3 linked regions of the Macaca fascicularis genome follow. The protein of the gene in region 2 interacts with the protein of the main gene of each other region in a pairwise test. Links are inferred from orthologs where the notes say so. Each region holds a gene or a part of one and is shown on either strand. Other genes may lie near its edges. The genes, in order: RIC8A, NUTM1 and SH2D4A.

Evidence for each region.
Region 1: the proteins of NUTM1 (region 2) and RIC8A interact in binary tests that used the Homo sapiens proteins (3 or more experiments, as listed by UniProt). The link is inferred for Macaca fascicularis from reciprocal best matches to the Homo sapiens genes NUTM1 and RIC8A.
Region 3: the proteins of NUTM1 (region 2) and SH2D4A interact in binary tests that used the Homo sapiens proteins (3 or more experiments, as listed by UniProt). The two-hybrid records come from large-scale screens. The link is inferred for Macaca fascicularis from reciprocal best matches to the Homo sapiens genes NUTM1 and SH2D4A.

The regions. Positions count from the first base shown.
Region 1 is NC_088388.1:88,490-92,818, reverse strand, and holds the start of RIC8A (chaperone Ric-8A), read right to left. Parts: upstream 2,839-4,329; 5' UTR 2,757-2,838; coding exon 2,673-2,756; intron 2,337-2,672; coding exon 2,289-2,336; intron 2,201-2,288; coding exon 1,610-2,200; intron 1,041-1,609; coding exon 949-1,040; intron 361-948; coding exon 210-360; intron 1-209. Other genes in the region: BET1L (BET1-like protein), read left to right, coding at 4,265-4,283.
Region 2 is NC_088381.1:10,631,898-10,636,003, reverse strand, and holds the start of NUTM1 (NUT family member 1), read right to left. Parts: upstream 2,877-4,106; 5' UTR 2,827-2,876; coding exon 2,472-2,826; intron 1-2,471. UniProt on the Homo sapiens protein: Plays a role in the regulation of proliferation. Regulates TERT expression by modulating SP1 binding to TERT promoter binding sites.
Region 3 is NC_088382.1:22,384,226-22,387,826, reverse strand, and holds part of SH2D4A (SH2 domain-containing protein 4A), read right to left. Parts: intron 939-3,601; 5' UTR 735-938; coding exon 554-734; intron 1-553. UniProt on the Homo sapiens protein: Inhibits estrogen-induced cell proliferation by competing with PLCG for binding to ESR1, blocking the effect of estrogen on PLCG and repressing estrogen-induced proliferation. May play a role in T-cell development and function.

The sequences.
Region 1 (4,329 bases), on a different chromosome or scaffold from region 2:
TGTGGAAGGTGTCCACATGCTTCTCATGAAGGAAGGGTCTAGCTTGTTGCCAGGCTGGACCACAGAACAGCCGGAAGAATCGCCTGTATCACACCACCAAGATGATTTCCACTTACCAATGTGGCCAGTGGAGAAGCACTGACCACAGCTGTGCAGGAGAACCAGTGCCAGAGCCACTGGGGGAGCCTGTACAGCCATCCCCAGCCTACCTGGTGCAAACGCTTCTCTAGGAAGATGAGGAGGGCACGAATCACATCCATATTCACTCCCATGAACTCCACGGAGTCTTCGTGTGGCTCCAGGGTGAGGAGAACATCCAGACACTTGAGAGGCAAGTTCCCCAGGAGGTTCACTGCGTGGCTGAGGACAGATGGAGGTGGGGGTCTCAATAGGGCTAATCCCTCAGCACAGATGCAATCTTTGTGCCCCCACTGAACCACACATTACATGAGCTGGCGTCTGAGGCCCAAAGGGGCGGCACTGGGGACCAAAGCCAAGGGCAGGGACTGATCTGAGAGGCACTGCCACTCAGCTGTACAGTGGGGTCCCCTGGGGAAGTGGGGGCTGAGACACCCTGCCTCCCCTACCCTGTCTGGGCCAAAGCGCCAGACCATCTCTGGAAACCACACCAGCCAAGGGGCAGGTGGACCAAGAATGGGGACAAGGAGCCAATGTGCCCTAGTAAATACCACACTGTCTGTTGCCACTACCCAAGGCCCAGGTGGCACATTCCTGCCCCCAAATTCATGGCTGTTGTCCTGGCCACATATTAGAAGCACCCAGTATTCTCTGGAAACACACCGATGTCCAGTCTCACTCACCCAGACAAAGTCAGACCCTCTAGGGTGGGGCCTGGGCTCTCAGGTGGTTCTGGTTCACAGCCAGGGCTGAGGATGACCATCTAAACATGTGGACACACTTCCCTCCCAGAAAAAGCCCCATCCTCACCCATGGAACTCCTCTGTGCGGTCTCCAGCAGTAGCAATCATCACACAGTGCCGGAGAAGGGTCCCCAGGTGTCGGTAAAGAGCAGCGTCTTCCTGACCAAAGAAAGAAGGGTTCCTGTGAGGAGCCCCACTCATCCCACTGCTGCCTGCTGAGGCTCTACTGTCTGTTGCACTCCAGAACTGTGTGGCAATGACTGTGCACCTCCTGTACTGCACACTTGGTCCCCTGGGGTCTCCTAGGTGACTCTGGCTAGTGCTGGGGGCAAAAGATGACCACCGCTGTCTTCCTAAAAACTCCATGAGTATTCTTCTAAGAGCACGTCCCTGATTAGGAATGTTAACACACACCCTTGGGATGAAGTCACACTCTTGTCTCAGCCCCACTCACAGCCTCATGGTGGAGGATCTCTTACAGTCTCCCCGGAGAGCACACAGCCCCCTGCCAGGCAGCAAGAGCCAGAAGGGGCCTCTACTTCCCTCAGAATCCTCCCCTAAGGTCCCAGCCCAGAACTGGCATCTCCTTGGCCTTGTCCCAACACGCTGGGAGGTCCTGTTCTCTCCATGTCTGACACCCAGAAACCTGAAGGTACCCAGTGGGAAGCAGGTCCAGGAAATGTTGGAGCTGAGTTGAGACCCATCCATGGGTTGAGGTCAGGGCTCACCTCGTCCACCTCCCCCTTGATGGAGTCGAGGGTGATGTTGAAGAGCACTTTGAGGATCTCCATGGCCCGCTCAGTCTCTTGGGAAGGAAGGAGCTTGGGTGGGTTCCCTTCAGGAGTCACCCCCAGCGTCAGCTCCAGTGTGTCAGTCAGCAGATGCACTCCTTTCAGCTCCTGAAACAGCTGCTGGCGCACATCGGTGCGGAGTGCCGTTAGCAGGAAGAGGAGCCTCAAGTCAAAGAACTGGACATCGTGGGGGAAGCTCCTCTCCCGGTACAGCCCCACACGCTCTGTGAGCTTCACCACTAGGCGGGCCTCTGCTGCCAGCATCTGTGCCACAGGGCTGCTGAGCACGAGGTTGCACAGGCACTTGAGGGACTCCAGTACAACATCCATGTCGGGGGAGTCTGGGACGGACCCCTCAGAGCCAGAGATGTCAGCATAGCAGGCCAGTGCCTGCAGGCTCTGGCGGCTGGTAAACGGGTCCAAGCAGTTGCGGTCCCGGGACAGGATTCGGACACTCTGCAGCCAGGTGACCCGGTGGGAGGGTGGCAAGCCCTGTTCCAGGACGGAGACCAGCAGCTCCGCCAGTCTCTGTGGGCAGGGAGACGAGCGGCTCCACCAGGCCCCTCTTCCTGGGGCCACCCGTCCCTGTCCCTTTACCCCTCGGGCCAGCACCCACCTTCCGGTCCTCCTGTTGAGCATCATCAAACGTGAAGCTCTGGGAGTGCTGCAGAGAGAACGAGTGAATTCAAGTCCACAGAGGGGCAGTATCCGCGCCCGCTGACGGGGGGCGGCCTATTGGCCTCTAACTCAGGCAGCAGCCACTGCTCAGAAGGGGTGGCAGGGTCTACACTCGCCCCCATCCCTACACACCTGCCACCCAACGGGTGCACCCCAGACACTCTCCCCCCAACACTGCATCCCTGACGTGCCACCCCCACGCCGCCGCGTCCCCTCTGCTTGCTGACACAACCCCTGCCTCACCCACACCGTCCCGACCACCCGCGCACGACCCTGCCCCACCCCCTCCGTGCCCGCCCCCCGGCCTCAGGCGGCCGCTCACCTCCTGGTTGTACGACCGCAGAGCTTCCATAATCACATCCTCCTTCCCCGTCTCCACGGCTTCTGCAACCGCCCGGGGCTCCATGGCGCCCCCGGAACCCGGCGCGGGGAAGGCGGGACGGGCCCTTCCTCAACCTTTCCGGGCCGCAGTTCGCCGGCCCCGCCCTGGCCCAGAAAGCCCCGCGCCAGCGCGCGGGGGAGGCCGGGACGGGACGCGGCGTCTGGTGGCGCTTCAAGGGGGCGCGGCCTGAGGCAGCACTGGCGGCTCGGAAGACCCGAGTCGGGCCAAGTCGCCCTGAACCGGACTGATCCCCCTCCTTGTGACCGGGGCTTCTTGGGCCGGAATTTCCAACAGGAAAGGATCTCAGCCCCCACCGCGCCCTGCCACACACACAGTGACGCCCCTCGAGCTCCACAGAACCGATGGGATGTAGACGGGAAAGCCGAAGTGGAAAGGACTTTTCAGTCCCGGGCCATTGGGTTCGTTAGGCGTTTGCTGGGGAATGCAAGCGAACGGGACTCCCAGGCCCCTGCCTTTGTGGAGCTTATGTTCCAGAGGGGAAGGCAGACAAGGAAAAACAAAAGGACATGAGGCGGTCACAGGGCTGTGCTTCAAAAGAAGCAAAAGGTGACTGCTGGGCTGCAAGGGCTGTGAGGCAGTGGTGTTTTTGCTAACACTGGACGATGGGAAGCGAGCCGGGAAAAGACTGGAGGAGCCACTCCAGGCAGAAGGAGCAGCACTTGCAAAGGTGGAAGGGCCGTGAGGGGCCGAGAGAAAGGGGAGCAACGCAGTCTGGCCTGGACTCAGTTCCCTCTTGACAAGCAAAGATCCTGCGTGTCCGTTTCAGTGGCCATCAGGAGGATTCAGTGACGCACAGGAAGCGCGGTCCACTGGCTCTTGTAACAAGTGCCCGGGAGCAAAGGCGTCTACGGCCCCCACTCCCCGTGCCGCCTCCCAGTCTCTTTCCCTGCTTCACTTTCCTGTAGCGCTTTCCGCACACCTGTATTCGACGCGGCGCGCACTCGCAGGCACTAGCGAGGCGCCGATCTCCACTTGACAGAGGAGGCACCCTTGCCCCCTCCACACCCAGGGCTCCTCGCGGGCTTCTGCCCGAGGGGCCTACTCCTCCCTCATGACCCGCCTGTGAATCCTTCCTAACCGTTAGGACCTAACGCATGGCAGCGTCTTTCCACCACCATCGTCTTGGCACTGAGCAAGCAAACGGCCCCGCCCCGCCCCACGTTCACAGGAACAACAAACAAACGTCACATCCGCGGTGCTGCTGTAATCCCAGCACCTTGGGAGCCCGGCAGGCGGGGGCTGCAGTGAGCTGAGATCGCGCCACTGCCTGGGCGACAGTGCTGAAAATAAGTCACAGCGACGCCCATCGCTTCCGCGACCCCGCGGTTCCCCACCCTCGGGCCTAAGCCGGAAATCAGCGAGCCCGACGCCATCTAGGGGCGTGGTTGGCGCGGAGGCGGGGCCATCGCTGGCGGGGGGCGGGGCCGGAAGCCCGTTCCCCGTGACTGCGCCACGTCTGAGGCGGCTGTGGCCGCGTCGGTGTTGGCGTCGAGGAGCCGGGGCAGGGCACGATGGCGGACTGGGCTCGGGGTGAGCGCGGGAGAGCGGAGCCGTTGGGGGCAGGGCCGGGCCGGAA
Region 2 (4,106 bases):
TCGAGGCATCCATAAGGCCTTTGAGAAGGAGGCACTTTCAAAAATATGACTGGCTCATTCCCTCCTCCTTTTCCTTTTCCTGTTGCTTCTTATAAATCTCTCTTAACCTAAAACAACAGAAGAAAGATTCAATCTATAAGCAGGAGCATGAGCCCATGAAGCTCAGACATCCTGTAACACATTCCACCCAGCATTCCACGTACATCCCCTATGCTCACCTATTCCAAACCAGAGACTCAAACCACCTGAACCCTGCTTCTCCCAGCTGCTCTGTGGCCTCTGCCACCACGCACAGAAGTACTGTTCCCAGGAGAGGATATGTGGATTGGATGTTTGGTTCCCAGAAATTTTGTTGTATAACAGCCAGGAATAATTAGAGAGGATTAGATAAGGACAAGGAAATGAGTGAAGGGAGGGCGGTGTGGGGAGAGAGGTTTCCAGATCTTTAAGTAACTGCTGGACGTGTTTGGCGATGCAGACTATCTGTGGCCCTTCTGCTTGGAGCTCCTAACATCAGAAATTTAGGGCTCACTAGGAACGAGGCACTGAGCTAGGTGCTAAGGACAGGACAATGAAGTCCTTCATTGTCACTGGTTCCAGCTGGGGAGGGGCTATGTGGACTCTAGTCAAAGAGACCAAGGATAAGTATACAAATGTGTACTTAATCAGAACCTATGTCTCCTAGGACTTTTTTTTTTTCCCCGAGACAGAGTCTCTGTCACCGAGGCTGGAGTGCAGTGGCGCGATTTCAGCTCACTGCAACCTCTGCTGCCTCCTGGGTTCAAGCGATTCTCCTGCCTCAGCCTCCCTAGTAGCTGGGATTACAGGCGGGCGCCAACACACCCAGCTAATTTTTGTATTTTTAGTAGAGATGGGGTTTCACCATGTTGGCCAGGCTGGTCTTGAACTCCTGACCTCAAGTGATCTACCTCCCTCGGCTTCCCAAAGTGCTGAGATTACAGGCGCTTGAGGTCAGGAGTTAGACACCAGCCTGGCCAACTTGGTGAAACCCCGTCTCTCTAAAAATACAAAAATTAGCTGGGTGTGGTGGTGGGCGCCTGTATCCCAGCTGCTCAGGAAGCTGAGGAAAGAGAATTGCTTGAACTCGGGAGGCAGACTTTGCAGTGAGCTAGCATCACACCACTGCACTCCAGCGTAAGCGACACAGTGAGACTCCATCTCAAACAAAAAAACAAAACAGGAAAACAACAGCAGAATATCACCTGCTTAAATCTCCTCCCCCTTACAAAAAATATTACACTGTCAAACTAACAACACCCAACTTCTGCATTCTGACCATGGCACACAAGCAAACTCAGATTCAAACTCATTTCAGCCACAGAGCAAAGGGCTGAGGGTATGTCGCTGAGTACAGAACACAATGAAAGGGGCCTGAAGGCCTGAGATCCATAAAAGGAAGAAAAACTAAGAGCATCTCGGTGAAGCCCCAGATCTCATCCTGGCTGTAATGACCCACCTCTCTGGCCCGGATGAATCCGGAAAAACTGCTTCCTGAACTCAAAGCGAAGCCACCTCTAGGGCTGGAAGGAGCCGTGAGGCTCTGAGCAGAGGCAGGATTTTTCTTTTTTTTTTTTTTTTGAGACCGAGTTTCGCTCTTGTTGCCTAGGCTAGAGTGCAATGACACAATCTTGGCTCACCACAACCTCTGCCTCTCAGGTTCACGGGATTCTCCTGCCTCAGCCTCCCGAGTAGCTGAGATTACAGGCATGCGCCACCATGCCCGGCTTTTTTTTTTTTTTTTTTTTTTTTTTTTTGTAGTTTTAGTAGAGATGGGGTTTCTCCATGTTGGTCAGGCTGGTCTTGAACTCCTGACCTCAGGTGATCCGCCCGCCTCGGCCTCCCAAAGTGCTGGGATTACAGGCATGAGCCACCGTGCCCGGCCAGAGTAGAGGCAGTTTATAATACATTCCAGCCTAGTTTTCAGGAAGGCATTTCTCTGCAACGGATAACTACAGATTATGTTTTCCCGCTAAAGTCCTTCCCACCTTACCCTCCCATCCTCCATCCTCCACATCCCATTCCCCTCATAGGCTCAAGCATGGCAAAATCCTAGAATAGGCTCCAGTTGCCTGAAAGAGACAGATGAATGAACGTGGGCATTCCCCCTTGAAACCTCTCGGTGCCAGTCCTAAGACACATACCTCTGATCCCCTCTCCCACCACAAGAACACACGCTGACGTGCCCCCTGTTCAAGAGAATCAAGTTGCTAATTGCCATCCATTCTCTATACTCAGCATGTGTCCTCGGAGACACCTTGATCTGCCCTTAAGGAGGTCCTCTTCCTTCCCCGGCCCCTAGTCTTAATGGTACAGTCTCCTTCTCTAGCCTCCCCAAGTGGGATACCTTTGATGGGGTGTAGCACCTCGCATTCCTTTAGGTCAGCCCAAAGAGCTTGTCCCAAAGGATTTGAGCAGGTACCAGAAATCCTCCTCACCACCTAAAGACTTACCTCCATCTGAAGCCATCCTCTCAGCTTTGGGCACTAACCGTGGCTGTCTGGAAGCCTCCAGAATGAGGCAGTCAGGTCCAGGACCCAGAGTAACCTGGCTCCAAGTAGGTGCACAGGGATCCAAGGAAGGGAAGGTAAAGATCAGATCAAACAGAACTAGAATATGGAACTCAAGGCAGTCTGCTGTGGGGGAGGGGAGAGGGGAAAGTGGGGTGAGGGTGGGGAGAGATATTCCATGAAGGGTTCTAGTAACTACGCAAAAACCAGGAATTCCCTTCAAACTACAGTTTGGCAACACAACTGATGTTCGCCCTTTAGGGCTATTTGTAAATTCTTTCTCAGATTCCCAACACATTACAGTTTTGAGTTTGGTTCCCTATACTTCAATTCTTCACCAACATATCTCATTTTGTGTCCTTCCATCCCAGCCAGTTCTGTAACTGACTTCCTATTAACAGCAGGTCGATGGTAGACCCCTGACTTAATCCAATGATGGCTATATTTTCTGAACTAAATTCAGACCACATTGGTCTGTATACTTAAGGATCAAGGGAACTAAAGTCTAAAATTAGAATTGTCAGATGATCCAAGGTGCTCAATTGCTGTGTGCACATCATTTCCTTGGAAAGCTGTCCAATCTACTAGCATAGGCTCTGTACTCCACAGAAGCCTTACCCTTTGCTGAAAAGCCTCACTAAATAAAAAAGCTGCCATGCAGTTTAAAACCTCAAGAGTAGAAAGTCCTTCGTTTTGTTAAATTATTTTGGTTTAAATTTTAAAAATAAAATGTATCTGCTAAGGTTCCTGGTGACTATTTCAGGCCAGTAATTCCCAGACCATCCTCTACAGCCACAGCTTCATCCAAACGTGGATTTCCCCCAAAAGACCTTCCCTGGGGTTCATGGCGTCTTTCTTGCTTTCTCTGAGATATCTTTTCTCTTTTCTAAAGACTCTTTCATTAATAAGACCTGAAGGCTGAAATCATCCTTTTCCTTTCTAACAAAATTAACTACTTAGACATACTTTTTTTTTTTTTTTGAGACAGAGTCTTGCTTTGTCGCCCAGGTTGGAGTGCAGTGGCATGATCTCTGCTCACTGCAAGCTCTGCCTCCCGGGTTCACACCATTCTCCTGCCTCAGCCTCCTGAGTAGCTGGGACTACAGGCGCCCGCCACCACACCCGGCTAATTTTTCTATTTTTAGTAGAGACGGGATTTCACTGTGTTAGCCAGGATGGTCTCGATCTCCTGACCTCATGATCCACCCACCTCGGCCTCCCAAAGTGCTGGGATTAGAGGTATGAGCCACCGCGCCCGGCCTTTAAAAAATTTTTAACAGGTAATACATTAGCAAGGTTCAAAAATCAAACTACAAAATAAAATACATAGCAATAAGTCTGCCTCCCACCCCTTACCCCTTTCTCCTGTAACTAGGTTCTCTATCTCAGAGGAAACCAGTATCATCTGTTTCTTGTGAATAATTGCAGAGATTTTTTATTCAACTACAAGTAAATACAAACCATATCTTTTTTTTTTTTTTTTGGGACAGGGTCTCTTGCTCTGTCACCCAAGCTGGAGACCAGTGGCGTGATCTCAGCTCACTGCAACCTCCGCCTCCCGGGTTCAAGCGATTCTCC
Region 3 (3,601 bases), on a different chromosome or scaffold from region 2:
AACTACCAGAGATTCCTTTGGTAATGAGGAAAAGTTTACATCTGAAAAACTCATTCACACTAAAAAAAGATAGTATTATGATTATTTTCCTTACAGCAGTTCCTTACATTTTAAGAGAGGGTGTTCCCTAAAAAGATACCTCAAAGAAAAATCTCTGAGGTCTAAGAAATGTAAACACAATTGCTATAAATATATTGATATAAGAACTTTGTGTTCTGGTAGTAGAATATAAGGAATCAGTAACAATAAAGGAGATAGAAACCTTTCTTAATACCCCTCAAATCAAACTCCATAGGTGACTTTTTACTACAGCTTCAGGTTAGTCTCATTTCAAGTAAGAGATTTCCTCACAGTTATGCAACTCCATGGTGAATGCTGTGTGTGTGTAGACTTCAAGCAGATATACTGCACTACTGGATTCTCAGTAACATTTAGGATTCATCTACCAAACTGGAACTTGCACTTGCTTTGCTTGTGATTAGTTTGAAATTGTCAAAGCCAGCCAGGAGTTATTCTACCAACACGTTCACAAAAGAAACGTGGCTAAGTTTACCTTTCTTTGGTCTGGGTTTCACTGGCAAGGACTCCTTTCTTTCCATAGCTGCTTCTCTTTCTTTCCATCGTCGGATCTGTTCCTCTCTCATCTTGAAGAACAGGATCTGTTTCTGTTCTTCGCTGAGCTCTGCCAGTAGATCGGGATCTATGTACATCTCCGACAGTATCTGTTTCAGCATCTTTGCAGTTCTGGAGTCTTTTATACCTGTGGCAAAAGTTCCTGAAACTGGCCTCCAGGTGTCCCTCCACCTGTGCTGGCACTTGGGCGTGTCCACAAAACTTCCCGAACAGCTCACAATCCTGGCTGACTGGGGCAATAATTCAGCAAACTGGCTCCTGAGACCTGGCACCAAATGTCCGGTCCAAAATGCTGTTCACTGAACCTACAGAGAGAAAGAGCCCGCATTCAGGTGGCATGTTAAAATGTGTGGACGCTGGCTAGGACGGGTTAAAAAAAAAAAAAAAAGCCAGGAGGAAATACAGTATCACTTTTCATTTCAGGGAGAAAACAGAAAAAGAAAACCTGAGGCACACTTTGTTAAGAGTTTGTGTAACTTCTATCCTATAATTTCTAAAGATACTTTGTCAAAAAAAAGAAAACAAACCCTAACTTTATACAGGTCAATCTCAGGGAAACAAAAAAAGTTCACAGAGGTTTGTCCTGCTCCCAACTAAGCAAACACATGATTACCCCAGAGCCTAACAAACCACCAACTGTGTGGCTGAAAAAAGAAAGGCAAAAAGAAAGGTCACAGGAAGAAATTAAAAGGCTCTCTGCAAAGTACCTATTTCAAAAGAAAATACCATTTTTGAGATGTCACAGAGTAACTCACCCCAAACCAAACCAAAATAGAGCCATGTTCAAGGAAGAAAAAGGAAGAAATAAAAACTAGACCACCATGCAATTTCTGCAATTTCCCTAAAAAGTAGCATTAAATAAACATAATTATGTACTTTCCTCTTCACAAAAGGATAATGTAATTTCCAGGCAACCTACTAGAGCCATGAAAATCAGGGCAGGTGCAAGAGAGAACATCCGTCTACATTCTGGAAGGTCACCGAGTTTTAGGTGTGCTTTTACTAGATAACCTAGTTTAATAAAATCTAAATGGACAGACCAGATAAACTAGCGGGATGAAGAGGTCATTAGGTTCATAACAAAGGATCCTTGATTTATATGAGTTTACTGCATGGCTCCGTGAAAGAGAAACCATAAATCGAGTGTGCACAGTGGCCTCCTAGAGGTTCTCCTGGGGTTGGAAATCCCACTGAGGTTTCATTCTGCTTTCCACATTTCTATTTGGTTGGCTTAAAAATATTACCACACTGTCATACTTTTTCTCTCTATTTTTAAACAATTTCTAAGTCTCATAAACCATCATACTTTTGTAATCAGAAGGAAACTATGTAAATATTTCTATTCTGGAAAACAAGACTTTGGATTCGATGTAGTACGATGTAAGAAAAAAAACTTACTACAACTTTTCAGAATCACATGTGTCCTAAGAAATTCACCAATAGACTAGGCATGGTGGCTCACACCTGTAATCCCAGCACTTTAGGAGGCCAAGGTGGGTGGATCACGAGGTCAGGAGTTCGAGACCAGTCTGACCAATATGGTAAAACTCCACCTCTACTAAAAAAACAAAAAATACAGAAATTAGCCAGGCATGGTAGTGGGCACCTGTAATTCCAGCTACTCGGGAGGGTGAGACAGGAGATCGCTTGAACCCGGGAGGCGGAGATTGCAGTGAGCCGAGATCGCGCCACTGCATTCCAGCCTGGGTGACAGAGACAGACTCCATCTCAAAAAAAAAAAAAAAAAAGAAAAGAAAAAATAAGAAATTGACCAATAATTTGTTGTTTACAGTAACACCTCAATAATCTTACCACCTTGCCATGTGCTCTCAAATATCTTGTTTCTCCATACTATATTCAAACACTCTTAAACTTTAGACAAGTCACTTAGCTATATTATGGCCATCGTAGTGTTGGTTTCTCTTCGTTTACCTTGTCATTGATACAGCTAGATTTGTAATGCTTCTCTCACCACCTGGGGGCCTCCTTCAGCTTCCTGTCTTCCTCCTCTTCCTTGCAAAGTTGTTCCTTGATGTACATCTGTCTTTTGAGACGAGCACGCTCAATAGCTAGGCTACCACAGAATGGTGTGCATACGCAGCACTCAGATTCGCTGACTGTTCATTGCAAAGCCAGACCCTTGATGAAACTACACCTATCCCTACTGACTGCAACCTATCATCTCAGCAGCATTCAACCACCGGAATTCAAATGGAACCAAATATTAAGAGAAAACTTTTAAAGGACTAAAAGTAATGTCACGCCCCCTGCCAGGTCCCCTTGCTAACTTTGTATTTTGCATGGAGATACCCTTAAAGGCTTGAACAGTCAAAAAAATGGATGTCTTGTAATGATTTCTTGACTGTTTCTAGCAGCTTCTGAAGGGGTGGAGCCAATGAAATCCACAAGCTCCAAGATAAAGTGGTAAGAAACGACACGGAATGACTCCTTGACATTCCAGTAAATGTCTTTATGTTCTGTGGTTGGCTTTCGCAGAAATCACACATGGCAGAAAATGAACAGTTCAGTTAGGGTTGAGACTTCCGCTCTGTTCCCCATTTTCAATGCGGTGAGTCCTATTCAAGGCGTGGGTAGAGCCTAAAATCTAAAACCCTTAAAGCGCCAAAGTCACATTCCTACTGTCTCCCCCGCCCTGCATATTCCTGATAACACAGCTAACACTTCTCGTACCAGGCACCATCTTAATTAAGCACTTTACCTGTGTTAACTCGCTTAATCTTCATAATAACCCTTCGAGTCCAGCCCATCACTGTGCTCATTTCACAGATTAGGAAGACAGAGCACAGGTCAGCAGCTGGTAAGCGGCAGAGCCGGGCAGTCCAGCTCTAAGTCAGCTTCACTGTAATCCACAGCACAGAGGCCTTTTTGTGAGTTTATTTGTGTGCCCAGAATCAGAACAGCAGGATGTGGCGCCATGTATGAAATTTCAGAATGGAAGCCAGCAAAT